Diceros bicornis minor: one gene and its partner. The protein of the gene in region 1 interacts with the protein of each later gene in a pairwise test. Links are inferred from orthologs where the notes say so. Each region holds a gene or a part of one and is shown on either strand. Other genes may lie near its edges.

What was found.
Region 2: the proteins of INSR (region 1) and MAD2L1 interact in binary tests that used the Homo sapiens proteins (3 or more experiments, as listed by UniProt). The link is inferred for Diceros bicornis minor from reciprocal best matches to the Homo sapiens genes INSR and MAD2L1.

Annotation. Positions count from the first base shown.
Region 1 is NW_026691615.1:1,130,541-1,139,861, reverse strand, and holds the start of INSR (insulin receptor), read right to left. Parts: upstream 3,861-9,321; 5' UTR 3,477-3,860; coding exon 3,377-3,476; intron 1-3,376. UniProt on the Homo sapiens protein: Receptor tyrosine kinase which mediates the pleiotropic actions of insulin.
Region 2 is NC_080750.1:13,585,841-13,594,163, forward strand, and holds the start of MAD2L1 (mitotic spindle assembly checkpoint protein MAD2A), read right to left. Parts: upstream 3,945-8,323; 5' UTR 3,861-3,944; coding exon 3,788-3,860; intron 2,935-3,787; coding exon 2,788-2,934; intron 225-2,787; coding exon 104-224; intron 1-103. UniProt on the Homo sapiens protein: Component of the spindle-assembly checkpoint that prevents the onset of anaphase until all chromosomes are properly aligned at the metaphase plate.

The DNA of each region.
Region 1 (9,321 bases):
GGGCAGAGCAGTGAGTGAAAGGTGAGAGATCGAGGGTGGTGAGGACCTGCTGGGGGAGGCTTGGCAGGAGAAGGCTGGAGGGGAGTGGTGGGTAATGGGGTTTGGGAGAGTACTGAGTGTTTATAGGCTGAAAAGAGAAAGGCTTCTGGGTGCATGGACATCCCCGAACAGAGAGGAGGGAGCAGAGACCCAGCTGGGTAGGAGTTCTAGACAGGGAAAAAGTTAGCTCCCCGAACGCAGTGGTTCTCAACTGGGGACCGCTAGCAATGTCTGGAGACACTGTTGGTTGTCATGACTTGGAGAGGGGAGGGGCCACTGGCATCTTAGTGGGTAGAGACCAGGGATGCTACTCAACATCCTCCAATGCACAGGATGGCCCCCCACAACCAAGAAGTATCCAACCCCAAATGCCAGGAGCACCGAGCCTGAGAGGTTCTGCTCTAAACCAAATTAAGAATGGAAGTCAACAGCAACTAGAAGGATGTGCAACTATGACATACAACTATCTACTGGGGCTTTGGGGGGAAAAAAAAGGAGGAGGACTGGCAATAGATGTTAGCTCAGAGCCCGTCTTCCTCAGCAAAAAGAGGAGGATTAGCACGGATGTTAGCTCAGGGCTGATCTTCCTCACAAAAAATAAATAAATAAATAAAACTCTTAAAAAAAAAAAAAGAATGGAAGTCAACAATGGAGTGGGGTGAGGTGGAGACCCCAGGGGGCTCAACCCCATGACCTCCATAAGTCAGTGGGGCAGGGATGAACGGCAAGTCTCCAGGAGAGAAGCAGAGGTTAGGAGTAACCCCAGGGAGGTGACTGAGCAGGCAGAAGTTCTGCTCCAAGGGTCCCAGGACACACAAGAGAACACACAAGAGAAACATCTCATGCCATCCTCCAGAAACGAGGGGGATCTGAGAAACGAGGGGGCTCTGGAAGCGAGCATCTCATACCTCAATTATTCAACTCACTGGACCCCCCTAAAACTCTGTGGGTTTTCATTTTAATTAATCCCACACTGCCTTCACTCTCTGGCTTTGCAATCCCCCCACCCCACGCCCAAGTAATCTCAGACCAGAGCCAGCCAATCCAAGGAGAAATGGCGGGGAAAGCCATTGCCCTCTTCAGCAAAGCAACAGAGACGCCACAGGAGAATGAACCAGGGTGGAACATCCCATACAACATCTCCAAGAAAGAGTCCTTCATTCCTGAAAAATCACATTGATCTCCCTCCACCGCCCAGCCCCGCCAAAATGTCGTGTCAGTTGATGTAAGAGATTAATGATCTGTAAACTTTCTCGCCCCTCTCCAAACCTCTGAGGGGCCTCACATCTCATGTATTTGATAGGATTTTGTTAACCATTACCGCAGGGTAGGGATGGGGAGGCTGGGACCCCAATGAACAACCTTTTATTGAGAAGCCAGTGCTCTGCAGCCAGACAAGCTGGGGCTCTAATTCCAGCTCTGTAACCAGGTCAAGTTGCTCGCCTGCAAAAAGAGAGGGCAGACTCTACCTCATAGGGTCATGGTGAGAATTAACTGAGATTATATATGCAAAGCATATGGCACAGCTCCCACTGAGTGTTTCCTTTTATTCTTGTTAGTTAGGTATTATCTGGAGAATAAAGGAGCAGTGGCTTGGTGGACTAGTGAGGACATGAAGGAAAAGAGTTGAATCAAGAAGAAATATTTACCAGATGCCTACTGTGTGCCAGGCACCGTTCTAGGCTCTAGAAATGTCGCAGTGAATGAAATACACATAAGCCTCTGCCCTTGTGGGAACTGTAAATGTGTAACCAAGTGGTAAATCCATCTGTTCACTCCTGGAAGCCCAGGCGTAAATCCACAATTAATTACCAAAGCCACAAGGAACAGAGGAACAGGGAACCACACGTACACACATGCATACACACACACAACCACAAAGCCTGGCGTAGGTCTGACAACTTGTCTTGGATTTTCTTAACAAGAACCTAAACCAATTGCCATCCTTCCTTCATTGAGCGCTCACTGTACACCAGGCATACGGGGGCATCAAGACATTGCGTAATTGGCAGAGGCGCTCAGCAAACCTGGTTTTCAACTCCTGAGCCTGTGTATGCTTTCTCCCACACCTCACTCACCATCAGGGAACTCAAGGAGCCTCTTTTTCCTCCCCAACCCCTTCCTCATCATGACTGATTTCCTTTTATGGAGAAATCTGAAGAAGTAACCCAACAGATATTTTTAAAGCACAGCCTCAGACACCACGGTGAGAATCTCCAGCCATCTTCTCTTAAACGATTCTTCAGTCCTTGTCCCACAACCAGAAAGGCCTGCTGTCAAGCCGCAGAAGCATGCTGGGGTTGGGGTTGGCCTCTGTCTGCTGCCACACAGGGACACGCAGGAGGGAGGCCCTCGGGGTTAGGGCGCATGAGAGGCTCATCCAAGGTTAGAGACCTCCCAAGTCTGACGGCAAAAGACCGCTTCATGACGGGCGGAGCTGGAGGGGGAGGTTAGCAGGGAGCCCCGGCAGCAGTCCAGAGCCTTGGGCGGGCACCACACAGAGAGGTTCCAGCCCTCCCTCTGGCACTGACTTGGGGCAGTAAGTTATGCGTCCTCTCTGAGCCTCAGTTTACTCCTTTATGAAATGGGCGAACAACAGCGTCAACCTTTAGGGGCCACTCTGAGGGTCCAGAGAGATAGGATGGCGCAGCCCGTGACATTCGGTGACACCCACTATAATAATCATGATAAAAACGTCCACTCCTTCTGCTACTATAACTGTGCTGTTCCCAAGGCGCCGGAGTTTGCCTCCGGACATCTGGAAACAGAATCCCAAAGTGTAAACATGGACCTGAAGTCCGGGGTAGCCACGGGCCTCGATCCCAGGAAGGGGATGGAGGGATTCTACAGTTCCCCTCCCCGGGGCAGCGTCACCTAGCAGCAGCGACCCCAAGGGACCCCCAGTCTGTCACCCTCGACTCCGGCTCCTAACCGTGTGCGCCCCGCGCATTTGGCTGTCCGTGGCCGCCCGGACCCAGGGACCCCACTTCTCGGAGGCGACCCAGAGAGGACGTGTATCCCCTCTCCGGAGCGACTTGGGGACGGAGAGAGCCAGGCACGGGTCCGAGGCGCGCTCCGGAGAGGCGCCCGCGGCAGAGCAGGCACTGGCGCAAGGTTGCTCCAGCCCGGGGCCGGCACGCGGGGCGCGGAGCCGTGAGCCCAGGCGGGCAAAGACCAAGGTCAGCGGCTTCCCGCCCCCCGCGGGACCAGAGTGACCGCCCCGGCCACCCACCTCCCCACCCGGGACGGCTCTTGGTCCACAGCTGGGGCTCCATTTTGGCGAGGGATCGCCTCCCCACCGCGCGACTCCCCGCCCACTCCCGGACCCCAGACTCACCCTCTCCGGGGTACAGGTGGCCCGCGGCGCCCAACAGCAGCGCGGCCACGGCCACCAGCAACGGCGCGGCCGCCGCCCCCCGCCCGCCCCCGGCGCCCATGGCTGCGGGAGCGCGGGGTCCCGACGGATCAGAGCGCGCGGCGCCGGCCCGCGAGGGTCATGCTCCGAGGTGGCCGCCCGAGGGGCGCTGGGGGCCGCGCGTCCTTTTCTTCCACGCCCGCGGCCCTCGGGTCGCAGCCCCCGCCCGGGAGGCTCCTTGAATCAGCCCCCGGAGGGGCGCGCGGCCTCGGCCGCTACAAATCCGGCGGCGCGGCTCGGCGGAGGCGGCCCCGACCCCGGGCTACTGAGGCCCGGGTCCCGTCCCGCGATCTCAGGGCCCGGAGCCTCGCGCTGCGCCCGGGCTTCCTGGCTCTCGGCCCCGAGCGCTCTTGGCCACGATCTGCGGACGCGCGGACAAACGGACGCGCAGACAGCCGGACGCGCGGACGGGCGGGCGGGCACCTGGGCAGGCGGGTGGCGGGCGGGCGGCGGGAGCGAAGGCTGCTCGGCCCGTAAACAACGCGGCCGTCAGCTGGGCCCCGTGCGGGCCGCGGCAAAAGGCGGCGCGGATCGGGACTCGGAAGGGACTCGGCGCCCGGGAGAGGCCCAGGAGGGGTGGAGGGAGGACGCGCAGAGGGAGGCGCCGCCCCGCCCCGTCCGCTGGCCTCCCTATTCTGGGCCCCGCGCTGGAGGCCCCTGGCGCGCCCCAGCCGAGGGGGCGCCCCAGATCCCCGCCCGGGCCGAGTGCTCCAGACAGCCCGCGTCTCTGGTCTCAGAGCTTGGGGGCGCCCCAGATGCCGGAGCCAGCCAGACCGATCCCGTCTTTAACATTTTCCTATTTTGTTCCTCGTGGACTGTGGGGTATTCATTTTGCTTTTTAAAAATATTACATTAAAATATTATTTATCTTGGTCACTCGGTTTTTCGGTACTCCCTTAAATGTTGCACTCGCCTCTCCCTCGTCTCAGGCCTATCAGTGAGTCTCGTCCTAGAGCGCGGGCGCCCCAGATGTCCTGCCCCGAGTGCGCCCCCGCCCAGCGCCGGGACCCTGGGGACAGCCACGTGCACGCGCGCCCCGTGCGCTCGGCGTGCTCCGTGGCCGGGGCCCCTCAGCGCGGCGTGGGGTTCCAGTTGGAGAAATGAAACCGGGGAGAATGTGCAGAACCTCCCAAAAATGCAAACTAGACCCTGGATCCCGCGCAGGTGGACACACCCGATTTTGAATCCGCAGACCCAAAGTTCATGTGTGTCTGAATGTCTAGCAGATGTCACTCATGAATAGGGCATGACAATGGTCAACCCACCTTACTGAAGGGGGGGAGGGGCCCTAAGTACAGGAAGCCAGAAAGAGTACAGGAAGCCTTACTGTGTGAGGCCTTGGACGGAGGGACCTCACTCTCTCCGGGGTGGCCTCACCTGTGTAATGGATGTAACAATACCTGCGTGTCAAATCTGGGGAAGCGCACGGGGAAGACAGCCTGGGAAAGCACTCCACACAATTCTAGGCGGAGGGCATTCATTTTCAGGAGCTGGGCCCGCTGTTTCTCCAAGACGCCAAACCTATTCCTGCCTCCAGGCCTTTACCCTGGCGTTCCCCCCTTCCCCTGTCCGTCCAGTGCCGGGCTCCACCTCTCCTCTCCTGCGAGCCTTCCCTGACCAGAGCCAGCCGCTCGTTTCTTTGTTCCCTTCCCCGAGATTCATATTACACCAGCATCTCTACCTGAAATTCTTACTTATTTTTTTTTTTTGTCTCTTCGCCCCTCCCCATGAAAGCAGAAATCTTGCCAGTCTTGTTCACTATTTCACACCCAGTGCCTGACATATCCGTTGCGTAATAAATATTTGTTGAATGGAAGAGTCAACACACAGTAAGTAAGAGGGATTCACAGTGAGCAAAATAAGCACAGTGCGTTTCCTTGTAGACTTCACTGTGGGGGTGGGGGGTCGCGTTAGTTAAACAATCATCCGTGTTATAAGGTGGGGCAGAGGGGATAGGGAAGGATGCTCCGAGGAAGTGATTTGGAGCTGAAATCTGAAGAGGAGGAGGAGGAGCCAGTCAACGGGAGCATCAGTGTTCCACGTAGAGGGAACAGCATGTGCAAAGGCACAGAGGAGGACAGGCAGGTGTTCTCGCAACTGAACCAGTCACTGGAGCTGGAGCACGGAAAGAGAAGAGAGAAGGCTGAACTCAAAGGCAGGACTAGAAGGGGTGCAACCTTGGATATTCCATTAAGCATCCCTCCCACCGCCTCCACCTTTACCCTAAAGGCAATGAAGAGGCACAATTTACATCAAAGGGTTAACATAATTAGATTTTATTTCCAATAGTATCTCACTGTCTTCGATGGGGCAAGAATGGACCCAGGGAGAACAAAAAGAAGGCAGCTGCAGTCCTGGGGTGTCGAGAATTGTGCATTCAATAAATATCTTTCCCCTTCCTTCTTGTGCAAACCTGTCCGGAGCTGTGGGCTTCCTTCTGACCCACGGGAGCCCCAAGCCCACCACAATTCTAGGCAGGCAGCCTGTGCTGAAAAGGCATGAGAGGGGAGATGCTGTCCTCTGGAAATCCTTCAGGACGCAGGACTTCCCTGTTGGGTAGAAAGTCAAAAGAATCATTTCAGTTGTGACTTGGTAGGAGAAAATTAAGACACCACCACTTCGCAAAACCACTCATTGTTTCTTTTGCTAATCACCGCGCTCCCACCCCCGAAAAAAAACCAAGCACCTAAAAATTGAAAGTCAACCTCTGCCTTTTGTTAAAATCCTTGGAATGGAAGTAGAAAATCACCATTTGCCAATCTCCAAAATCATTGATTCAGACAAGAACCATCAACGAATGCTAAAACTAATGGTTGGAAGTTTGAGAAGTAACAGGACATCTCCATGGTCTCCAAGTATCTCTCTGCCAGATACTTGTCAATAATAAAAGAAACCAAAAATAGTAGCCTCAGAGAAGAGGAAGCTGGCAGAAACCACCTTAATTAAGTGATCAAATTTGCTCCTGGATTTTCTTGCGTAGTGAAAGACATTACTGGGACAATTAGGTCTGTCAATTTGATAATAGTATTGTATCAATATTAATTTTGATCGTTGTACTGAGGTGATGTAAGAGACTGCCTCTGCTTTGAGGAAATTCACACTGAATGAAGGATGTAGGGGAAAGGGACATTATGTCTGCAACTTACTCTCACGTGGTTCCAAAAAAAAATGAAACAACAACAAACACACACGTAGAGACAGAGACTGGATTGGTGGTTACTAGAGAGGAAGGGGGTAGGGAGGAGGGTGAAAGGGATGATTAGGCACATGTGTGTGATGATGGATGGTAATTAGTCTTTGGGTGGTGAACATGATGTAATCTAGGCAGAAATCGAAATATAATGATATACACCCGAAATTTATATAACCTTATAAACCAATGTTACTGCAATAAAAAAAGAAAGAAAACAAAACAAAATGAGACAGAGAAAGAGAGGACGAAGCAGATGTGATCAAGTGTGATAAAATTGGTAAATGTGATAAAGAGTGTGCACACGGGGATTCATTGTACTATTCATGCAACTTTTCTGGGAATCTGACATCATGTCAATATAAAAAGTTTAAAAAGTTTTGAAAAACCATTTGGGGCTTCTTGCTTTGCTTTGTTTTTCTTAGACTGTCTTTGGTCTGACATTTAAACACATTGTCCTCTGAATGCATCATCTAAAGAGAGATACCGTTCTGTGGTTCATGGATATAGCAGCATATTCTCGACTTTTGTTGCCTGTCACAGAGGGCTCCGGGAGACCTCACCACCAGCCCACTGGGGTCTTCCTTTAGCAGATCCTTTTGGCATAATCTCCCTCAAACTAGCTGTTTTCCATTTCATTAAAGCAGGAAACCAAATGTAAATGCTGACTCCTGTGTTGTCATGGAAACTGCTTTAATACATTACATTTAGGAATGGGGGGAAAAAAAACCTACAGATTGATTTCACTTGTGAGTAACAGTGCAAAAATCCAGCATCAAGAATTTACTAACAGAACCAGACAGAAGATGAAATGAACACAACACCAACACCAGGAGCAAGTGAAACTTGGACCAGGAGTGCAAAGATAGTTCAATGCCCGGAAGTCGAGCCATCCAGCTCACTGTATTCATAGATCCAAGGAAGGAAGGTGCATGAGCATCTCTATGCTACTAAAAATGTATTTGCTGAATTCCATAGCTATTCAAAAATGAAACCATAAGACTCTACAATGCAGAAATTTTGTGTTATAATTTCAAAGTGGGGAATGTCTCTTGAAGCAAAACACAAATCCCAAATCTGAAATTTAAATATAACAAATTTAGCTATATAAAAATTAAGAGCATATGAATTGAAAAAATATTCACACATAAAATCACAAGTCAGATTTTTTAAAGTGAGAAAAATATATATCCTTTAAGTGACAGATAAAGGGCATGCATTATATGATATTTTGTAATATACAATACATAATATTAATTTTTTTCAATGAGGAAAAAAGCAAACTCTTGTTTGCCAAAATTAAAATGGCAAAGGATATGAATAGGCAGCTCACAGAAACAGACCACTGAAAAGGAAAAAAAAGAGAAATACAAAAGGTATTTAAACATATGAAAGGATGTTCAGGCTTCCTCATGGTTAGAGATATGTCCATGTCATTTTTACTGAGTTTATCAACAATCAGAAAAAAAGGTAACATAATATGAAGGTTTGTGAGAAAACAGACATTCTCATAATCACTGGTATAAATTAGTTCAATCCAATGGGAGGTGATTTGGCAATGACTTTCAACATGTAAATCACATTGACCCTTTTTCCTGGTCTTACTTCTAGGAATTTATATGCTGTACAGAAATACTCCCGTGAGTGTAAAAAGTATTCACAAGGATATTCATTGCAGCAAAGTCTAGAATCAACCTAAATAACTTTTACCCCAAGAAACAGGGAGACCTATCCATTCTCCTCAAAATACCTAATCAATTCAAATATTTAAAATTTTCCTTGTTCTTTCTTTCTCTTTCTCTCTTCTCTGATACAACTCATGTATGATTTGCATCGACAAGTTATTATAGTATGGTGCAATATTCTCATATTTTTTCCATGGGTTTTACTTTTCCTTTTTTGGAACCTTGAGGATATAAAGACAAGGCGTGAAGTTGGTATAAGAAAATAGACATCTGGAACTTGTAAAAATAGAGAGTAGAGTGGTGGTTACCAGGAGCTGGGGGGTAGGGGAATTGGAGAGATGTGGTTTAAGGGTACAGACTTACAACTAGTAGAAAAATAAGTTCTGGAGATCTAATGCACAGCATAGTGATTATAGTCAACAGTACTGCATTACAAACTTCAAAGTTGCTAAGAGACTAAATCTTAACTGTCTTCAACACAAAAAAGAAAAAATAAATATGTGACATGATAAAGCTGTTAGCGAACGCTACTGTGGTAATATTTCAATACATAAATGTATCACACCAACACACTGTACACCTTAAACTTACACAATGTTATGTGTCAATTGTATTTCAAGAAAAAAAGAAAACAGACGTCTTATACTTACCCAGCTTGATATCTGTCCATCCTGCTCCCCATGGGGGTATATTTCATCATTTCCACAGAGCTCTGTTTTTCTTAAAATCTCCATTTCTGACTCTTATTCAAATACATTGGAGTATTGTTTTTGTTTGATTTGTTTTATTGTGGTAAAATGCACATAACGTAGAATTTACCATTTTAACCATTTTCAAGTGTACAAGTCAGTGACATTCAGGACATTCACAATGTTGCACAATGATTACCACTGTCTAGTTCCAAAATTTTTTCATCACCCTGAATGGGAACCCCATACCCACTAAGCAATCACTTCTCATTGCCCCTCCTCTCAGCCCCTGGCAGCCGCTAA
Region 2 (8,323 bases), on another chromosome or scaffold:
CACCTTATATGAACCTAGTTCAATATAATTAGAACTCATTTAGTAAAGAAAACAAGTTTTGGAAAAAATATATGAAAGTGAAAATAGTCTAATTCATACTTACCTGTCATCTTTTGCAGTCTTGTCACACTCAATATCAAATTGCCATCTTTCAAGGACCTCACCATTTTCAATATTTGAGATGACTACCACCAGTTTCTGAACTGAACACTTGTATAACCAATCTGCAATATACAACAAGGCATCTTTTTTGGTCCACTGCATTACAAATCAACTCACTTCTCAGGTCCCACCTCCTATCAGCAAATTCTTACCACTGGTATTTTGGAACTCCTCCAACCTGCACAGAAACACTGCCCCATCACTGCTCCTGTTTTCAAATTCTCCGTGTTTGTACCAGGTATAGTGGTGGGTGCTGAGGAGAGTAGTGAACATCCAGTACTTCCATCTTAATCCAAGGTTAGAGTGCAGGAGCCAGGCATTAACCTCATCACTGCACCAACACATGTGAAACTATAATTGTACAAACACTCAAAAGGGAAGAGCATCTGCCCAGAGGACTGCAAGGAGGCCAATACAACTGCAGTTAAGCAAGGGAGAAAGAACAAGGTAAGTCTGGCCAGATGCATAGGGCCAGACAAGGCCACGTGGGCCAAATTAAAGAAATTATACTTTAAGAACCAGGGAAGTCATTACTGTGTTTGAAGCTCGGTGTGAGGTAATTAGACTTGTATTTCAAAACCATCAAGTCTGGCTGTGATATAGAAAGGGAACTGGAGGTAAAGAGGGGATCTAGGGACACTAGTTAATTAGTAATTAAAACAAGAGGTAACGAAAGCTTGTAGGAGGATAAACTGGTAGAGATGGAGCAGTAGACAGAGTCAAGAGATTTTGTGGTTATAATGCTTCAGATTTATTGGATTACCTATGAGAGTAAGGAAGAGGAAGGAGTTGGGGACAGCTCCCAGGTTCCTGGCTTACATCAATAGTTGGGTGGCTGTCCATTCAGAGAGGAAAGAGAAGTGAAATGGAGATGATCCTAAACTTAGTTTTTAATATGCTGAGTTTGAAGTATCCCTGAGACAGCCACATGAAGATATCAAGAGAGCCACTTGATATATGAGCTTAGAGTTCAGAAAGACTTGGGTTAGATGTAAGTTTGTGAGTCAACTATACAGATGTTGTTAATGGAGCTAGGAACGTGTCAGAGATCATCGAGAGAGAGATTATAGTGAGAAGAGGGCCTGCAATTGACCCCTGAATAAATCTAGGAAATTGGGATAGTATATCCAGGAATCAGCAGGTTTTTTTTTTAAAGAGACAAAATAATTCAGTAATATTTAAGGCTTGTGGGCCACCTAGGTCTCTGTTGCATATTCTTTTCAAAACAACTCTTTAAAAACGTAAAAATATTCTCGCTGACCCCTGGCATATATCAACAACTTTTTCTCAGTTTAGCTCTGAAAAGGAGGAGATTAGGTGGTAATTTGAAGATTTGAGGTAGGTGGTAATTTTTCTTTAAAATTGGAGAGAGATGAAACCAACGGGAATAATCCAAATCAAAACAAAGAAGTCGAAAATACAACAGAAAACATAGGATAAAGTCCCTCAGAAGGCTAGAGGGATGGGATTCAAAACAGATTGAACAATTTGCCTCTAAGGAGAGCAATTCCTCCATTTTAACTAAACTAAAAGGAAGAAGTTAAATAGGATGGTCTAGATACATCTGAGGTGTCTCAAAGGAGACAATCCAAAACACCAGTAGCTTAGGTAAGTATTGCTTCTTCATCAAATTAAGATGAAGACACAGCTCTATAGTTGCCTAGAGGTTTCCAGGCCAAATAATCTGAGTATAGCCCTATAAATAAGTATGGGAAACTATGGGTAATTTAGCTCTGAAGTTAATAAAAATACAATAATGTAATTTTAAAAATGAAGCTACTTGAAACAATATATATATGAGATTCATGAATTTAAAAATTAAAAAAAAAAAGATGACCACTGTAGTGTGTTTTGGAACTAGTATTTTGGATTATCAAATGGGAACATTTTACAACACAGAAAAATTAAAAGAATCCTAAGTGTTGAGAAACATAAAAGAGAAACTAATAGGAATTCTAGAGGAAGGAAAAAAAGGAATAGATGGAAAACAAGTATTGATCCAACAATACAGCAACTTCTTGAGCTAAAAAAAATGAGTGTTCAGATAGAAAAAGCTTACTGACTCACAGGCAAGATTTTTAAAAAAGACAAATGGAAACAGGTGAAAAACAAGAAAACTCTACTGGGCTCTACTATTTAGTACTTGTTCTTTTTTTTTTTCTTTTTTTAAGTTTAGTTCCCACGTTGAATCCAATTTTATTTCCTTGATCTTAATAATGACAACTTTAGACTCCAAGCAGCTACAGAATATATATAATATTAAGAATGTATAGTGGATTTTTCTCAGATAATGAACACCATCATAATTATGTAAAATTCCAACTTGCTCCATTTGGCCACATGAATTGCACGAGTCATTTCTAAGGGAGTTGATGGAGGCTGTCTTGTTAAGCCGTCTCAGATTCCTCACATCAAAATATTCAGCTCACTCAAAATGTGGTGGGGGAAGGGTGGGATTTCTTTCAATTTACATTGTTTGCTTCCTCCCAGCTGAGTCAGTATATCTGAGATGGTAGTGTGTTTTACAACCCTATGTACAGAGCTGAAAGATGACCACCAAGACGCTAGAAAATGTGGATTCTAGAAGGCCTGCAAAACTCAAAACCGTTTCCAACAACTGAATACCTTTTAGTTGTTCCACCACATTATTGAGGTATTTTATGAGCTCCGGATCAGTAGTTACAAGCAGGGTGAGTCCATATTTCTGCACTCGAGTAAAGGTTTCAGATGGATATATGCCACGCTGATATAAAATGCTATTGATGCCAAATGCTGAAAAGAAAAAAAATGTTGAACTTATTATCACTTTGTAACTCGGGAAAACAAAACATTTAGATCTGGCTTTGGTTTCATTAATGGTATGTCTGTAAATGCCTGAACAGACGTGTTTGTGCGGGTCTTGCTGAAAGCACAGTAGGTACAAAATTTCATTAAAAATCCTTGAAGTCTTGCTTCTAAGTAAAAGAGAGAAAGCAATGCCTGCATTTTGTGGCAATAAAAGAAAAATGCCAAACTGCATTAATCTACCACTGCCAAATTTCATTTCATTGTAATCCAAGTCCAAATTCAGATTATGTGGTTCGGGGATGTCAAAGAGGCTTCGGCGCGCGTTAGCAACTGACTGGCTGGTCCAAGGCCCCGGGCAAACCTCTCTCTGTCTTTTTCCTCCTTTTCCTCTCACAAGTCCTGCCAGGTTCTAACAGAAGGAAGGACCGGCCAGGTGCAGAACAGCGCTTCCCAAAGTCGAGTGCATCACCGCCAACCCCAGAATCACCCACACGTGCCCCCCGCCCCGGTCGCATTACGTCCCAAGGCCCTGGGGCGGCGGGGGGGCAGACACGGATCTGCACTTTAAAGAACCGCCCCAGGGCAGGGGCCGTACCCGGCGAGGCAGGCCGCCGCAGCACCGAGGCCTCCTCCTCCGCCATTAGCACCGCGGCCGGGGGAGACGCCCGCACCCGCCTCTCCCCAGATTCCTCCGGCCGGACGGGAGGCCGGGACAGACAGGGCTCGAGTTCGCGGCCGCTGCGGGCCCCCCGGCTTCCCCGCCGCGGAGCCGAGCCGCGGGCCTACCGGGCGGCCTGCCCCGGCCTCCCCGCCCCCGGCCTCCGCCAGGAGGACTCACAGAAGAACTCGGCCACGATCTCGGCGCTCCCGCGCAGGGTGATGCCTTGCTCCCGGGAGAGCTGCAACGCCATGGCCAGGCCACAGACGGAGGCGCGCGCTTCCTCGGGGGGGCAGGAGCAGCAGGGGCTCTCGCAGCAGTTGCCCGCCACTCGTTTCAAAAGTAACGACGCAGCACGCCGTCGGGCCCTTCGCGCAGGCGCGACCAGCCTCTAAGCCCCGCCCCCGCGACGGGCGCAGGCGCAGTGGGTCAGCGTGGTCACGCTGTGCCGGGCGTCCTAACCCGGTGGGTGTCTGCGGGCAGTTCCCGTTGCGGTCGGCTAGGTGGAGCGGAGGGAGGAAGACGGCACGTCCCGGTCTTGTTGGCCGCTCCCTAGGCCTGCAGACTGAGCGACCGAGGAGCACAGATTCTGCGTTCGGAAGATATTTTCAAAATGATATGAACTCCCCAGGGATCCCTAGTGGAGGGCTGAGACTTGGGCTGGACACGTTGGGAGTTCGGAAGGCAGCGGCGCACAGCCGAGCCTCGGCTTTAGAGGCCTCGATGGCTGTGGGAGCGCGGCTTTTCCCGAGAAACTGGGGTGGGGGCCAAAGGGGCGAACCGCAGCCGTTTTTCTGCCTAGTCTGCGTCTGCCCTGGGCTCCGCCCGCCTCCACCCCCAGCCCCCTGCGCGGCCGAGTCTGGGGCGGCTGGGGGTGCAGCTTGCTCTCCGTCCGCCCTGCCCACCCGCAGGCGGCTGGTCAGGAACAAGGTCACCTCGCCAAAAAGGCCCCTCAACACTGAAGAACTTTTCCGTGGATTTTGACGCACAAATTCAATGACTTCATGTTAGGATGAGAGGTATAAAGGAGATGGTGCACAATTAATGTTCATGGCCGTTGTGAAACGAGTTTATTCTTGTAGCAGGTGGAAAGATTATTTGTAAAATGCAGTCTGAAAAACTGTACCAGACATACTGTGTTATTTAATTATATGAGAAATGGCTGAGTGTATTAGTTTTCTATTGCTGCAGAACAAATTACCACGAATTAGTGGTGTGAACAGGCGTTTATTATGTCAGTCCCGTAGGTCAGGAGTCTGGGCGTGGCCTAGCTGAGTGTTCTGAAATAAAGGCGTCTGTGCGTGGGATCTCGTCTAAGGGCTGGGGTCCTCTTCCAAGCCCCTTGGTGGTTGGCAGGATTAACGTCCTTGTGGTTCTTTGTCTTGCCAGCTGTTGGCCAGAGGCCAGGTTTGTGCCTTTGCCAGGTACAGTAAGCCTTCTCACACTTGTAGTCTCCCTGACTTCAGGGAGTTCCCTTTTAAGGGCTTGCCTGACTAGGTCAGACCCGGTCAAACAGTTTCTCCTTTGATGAACGTAATCCCAGAAGTGATAGGCCCTCATATTCACAGGTTCTGGCCCCGCTCAAGGGAGAGGAGTTATATAGGATGTGCTCCCTAGAGACCAGGAATTTTGGAGGCCATCTTAGAATTCTGCCTATCACAGTTATATATCAGATTTTGATCACTTTGAAGATTAAAACATAGGTATAATAAGTAAGAGGCTGACGACCCAACAAAATATTTTCCTTACATCCTTCAGTCTCTGTGGTACGTGTGTGTATCTGTGTGTGTAAATCACCATCTTTTCACTCCTTGCACCAGGAACTTGAGTTAGAGTGCAATGCTACCTTACTGTGTATACAAATTGTCTCTCTTTCTAAGGAACTTTATGTTAATACTCAGCAATTCAGGAAAGACTTCCTTAGGTTTCATAGTAATATAGCTTGTAAATTAGCTGAAGATGCAAATAATTGTTAGTATAATTTTGGAGATTCTAGAATTTAAAAGGCTAGCAAAATGTATTTTTCCATGTATAGATGAAGTATTTTTTAAATACTTTATTTGTGCTCTGTGAGGAGATATAAGAAATAATTAAGGCTTAGAAGGTGTGGTCTGTGCTTTTTGAGTTTATAATCTAGTTTTGATTAAATATGCATACTTAAGGGGAAAAAAAAAGAAAAATTAAAGGCTTACAAATTTGACCTTACTTGCCTTCTGCCTACCTGGGCAGCCCTGTACTTTCCTAGTCTGCCTGATCCTTTAGTAACTTTTCCATCTCAGGGTTTTTCATAATGTGCTTTCCTCTGCTTAGAAATTTCATTTTATCTGTTCAAATTTCAAGTTATGTTTATATTCTTCTCTTTTTTTTTGCTGAGGAAGATTCACCCTCAGCTGACATCTGTGCCAGTCTTCCTCTATTTTATATGTGGGATGCTGCCACAACATGGCTGCTGATGAGTGGTATAGGTCTACGCCCAGGAACTGAACCAGTCCGCGGAAGTGGAGCGCACCGAACTTAACCACTAGGCAATGGGGCCAGCCCCTATATTCTTTTTTTAACTTAAATGTTGTATTAAAGAAATTTTCTTTGACCCCTCAGACTATAAGGTCCTGCTCTTAGGCATTTTCATAGCATTTCATAGTGCTATTTCAGAGCATTGCTTTCAAGGTCAGAATGAAAATAATTACCTTGTTATGATTATAGAATGATTTGAGTTCCATCTTCCCTGTTTTGGTGGAGGATCCATGATGATATTTGGTGGGTGCTCCACAAATATTTGTTGAAGGAATGAGCATTTGAATAGTTTCCTAGGAAAACTTGACAGAAGAACCGAAAACATTTTCCCATTGGAGAGCAGCTTGGATGGATGAGGTGAGGCCACATTTAGGGAGCTCTGAATACCCATCTATGTTGATTGAACTGGAAGTACCAGGGATTTCTAGGTTCTTAGGATTGAAATGATTAGCGGGACATTTTCTCAGGTGTAAATTCAGTAATGGTTGTAGAAATGATTGTGTACAGGACGACTGTGAGTGGTAGTCCTCAAACTTAAGAATGTGAAAGAATCACTTGGGTATTTTGCTAAATATGTATTTTCCTGGCTTCTATTCCCCCTTCTCCAAGCCTGAGTCAGTCCAGTACCACAGCTACTAGCCATGGGTGGCTGCTTCAGCATTTAAAATGTGCTGGTCTGAACTGAGATATGCTACAAGTATGAAATACCTGATTTCAGAGACGATAAAAAAAGAATGTAAAGAATTACATTGATATGTTTTTTAATTAATTACATATTGAAATGATATTTTACATGCATTGGATTAAATAAAACATATTATTAAAATAATTTCACTTGTGTCTTTTTAGCTTTTTAATCTGACTACCAGAACATTTAAAATTACATATGTCACTCATGTTATATTTCTATTGGACGGTGCTGGTCTACTTTATGGGGTTTAAGAGATGACGTGTTTTAACCAGCGTCCCAAATGATTCTGATGCAAGTTCTTAAATCACTTTTTGAAAAGCAGTAGACTATGATGGATATTTTAGCCATGCAGGCCTAGGAGGTTGAGAGCCTGGCCTAGATGGATGCCAGAGAGTTTGAATAAGAAGGCACCACATCAGGGGCTGGCCCTGTGGCTTGGCGGTTAAGTGCATGTGCTCCACTACTGGAGGCCTGGGTTCGGATCCCAAGTGCGCACCGACGCACAGCTCGTCCAGCCATGCTGAGGCGGCGTCCCACATACGGCAACTACAATGCTGTGCAACTATGACATACACCTTTCTACTGGGGCTTTGGGGAGAAAAAGGAGGAGGACTGGCAATAGATGTTAGCTCAGGGCCAGTCTTCCTCAGCAAAAAGAGGATGATTGGCATGGTTGTTAGCTCTGGGCTGATCTTCCTCCCCCCCCAAAAAAAGAAGGTACCGCATCAGAGCAAGACATTTTAAAACAAGAATTGAGTTGATGACTGATATGGAGGAAGAATGAAATGGTAGTGCAGATAACTCCAAGGTGGCAAGCCTGTAATACAGAGTAGAGTTGTTCAAAGCTATGGGATATTAGGAAGAGCTGCCCAAACTCTGAACCTGTTCTATTTCTTATTTATCATGATAACTCTTAACGATTCTAGGGAGAGGTTCAAGATGGCAGTGCAGGAAGGCCCTAAACTCACCTCCTCCCACAGATACAAGAAATTTACAGCTACATATGGAATAATTTTCCTCTGAAAAGGACCTGAGAACTGGACAAACAGCACCTCTGCAGCAAAGATAAAAGAGATGCATCAAGAAGGGTAGGAGAAGCAGAGACTTGGTCTCGGCCGGGAGCCCATCCCAGTGTGATGTCCCACAATCAGGAAGGGATCTGTAAATATGGAACTTTCCCTTGAGGATTGAAGGGATTGTGCCACACATCAGGCACTCTGATCCTTGAGCCTGCCACCAGAAAGACAAGCCTGCAAAACATCTAGTTTTGAAAATCAACAGGGATTAAGTCCAGGGGAAACACGGAACTGTAGGAAATGGAGAATCTGCTCTTACAGGGCTTGTGTAGACACACTTGCCTTGAGATCCAGTGCAAAAGCAACAGTTTGAAAAGCGCCTAGAGCATAAGTGAGGGAGACCCACTTACCAATCCTACAGTGGCTGATGGAGAGGCAGGGACCTGCAGAAAATCTCTCCAGAGACAGAAACACTGGTGGATGTCATTTTCACAA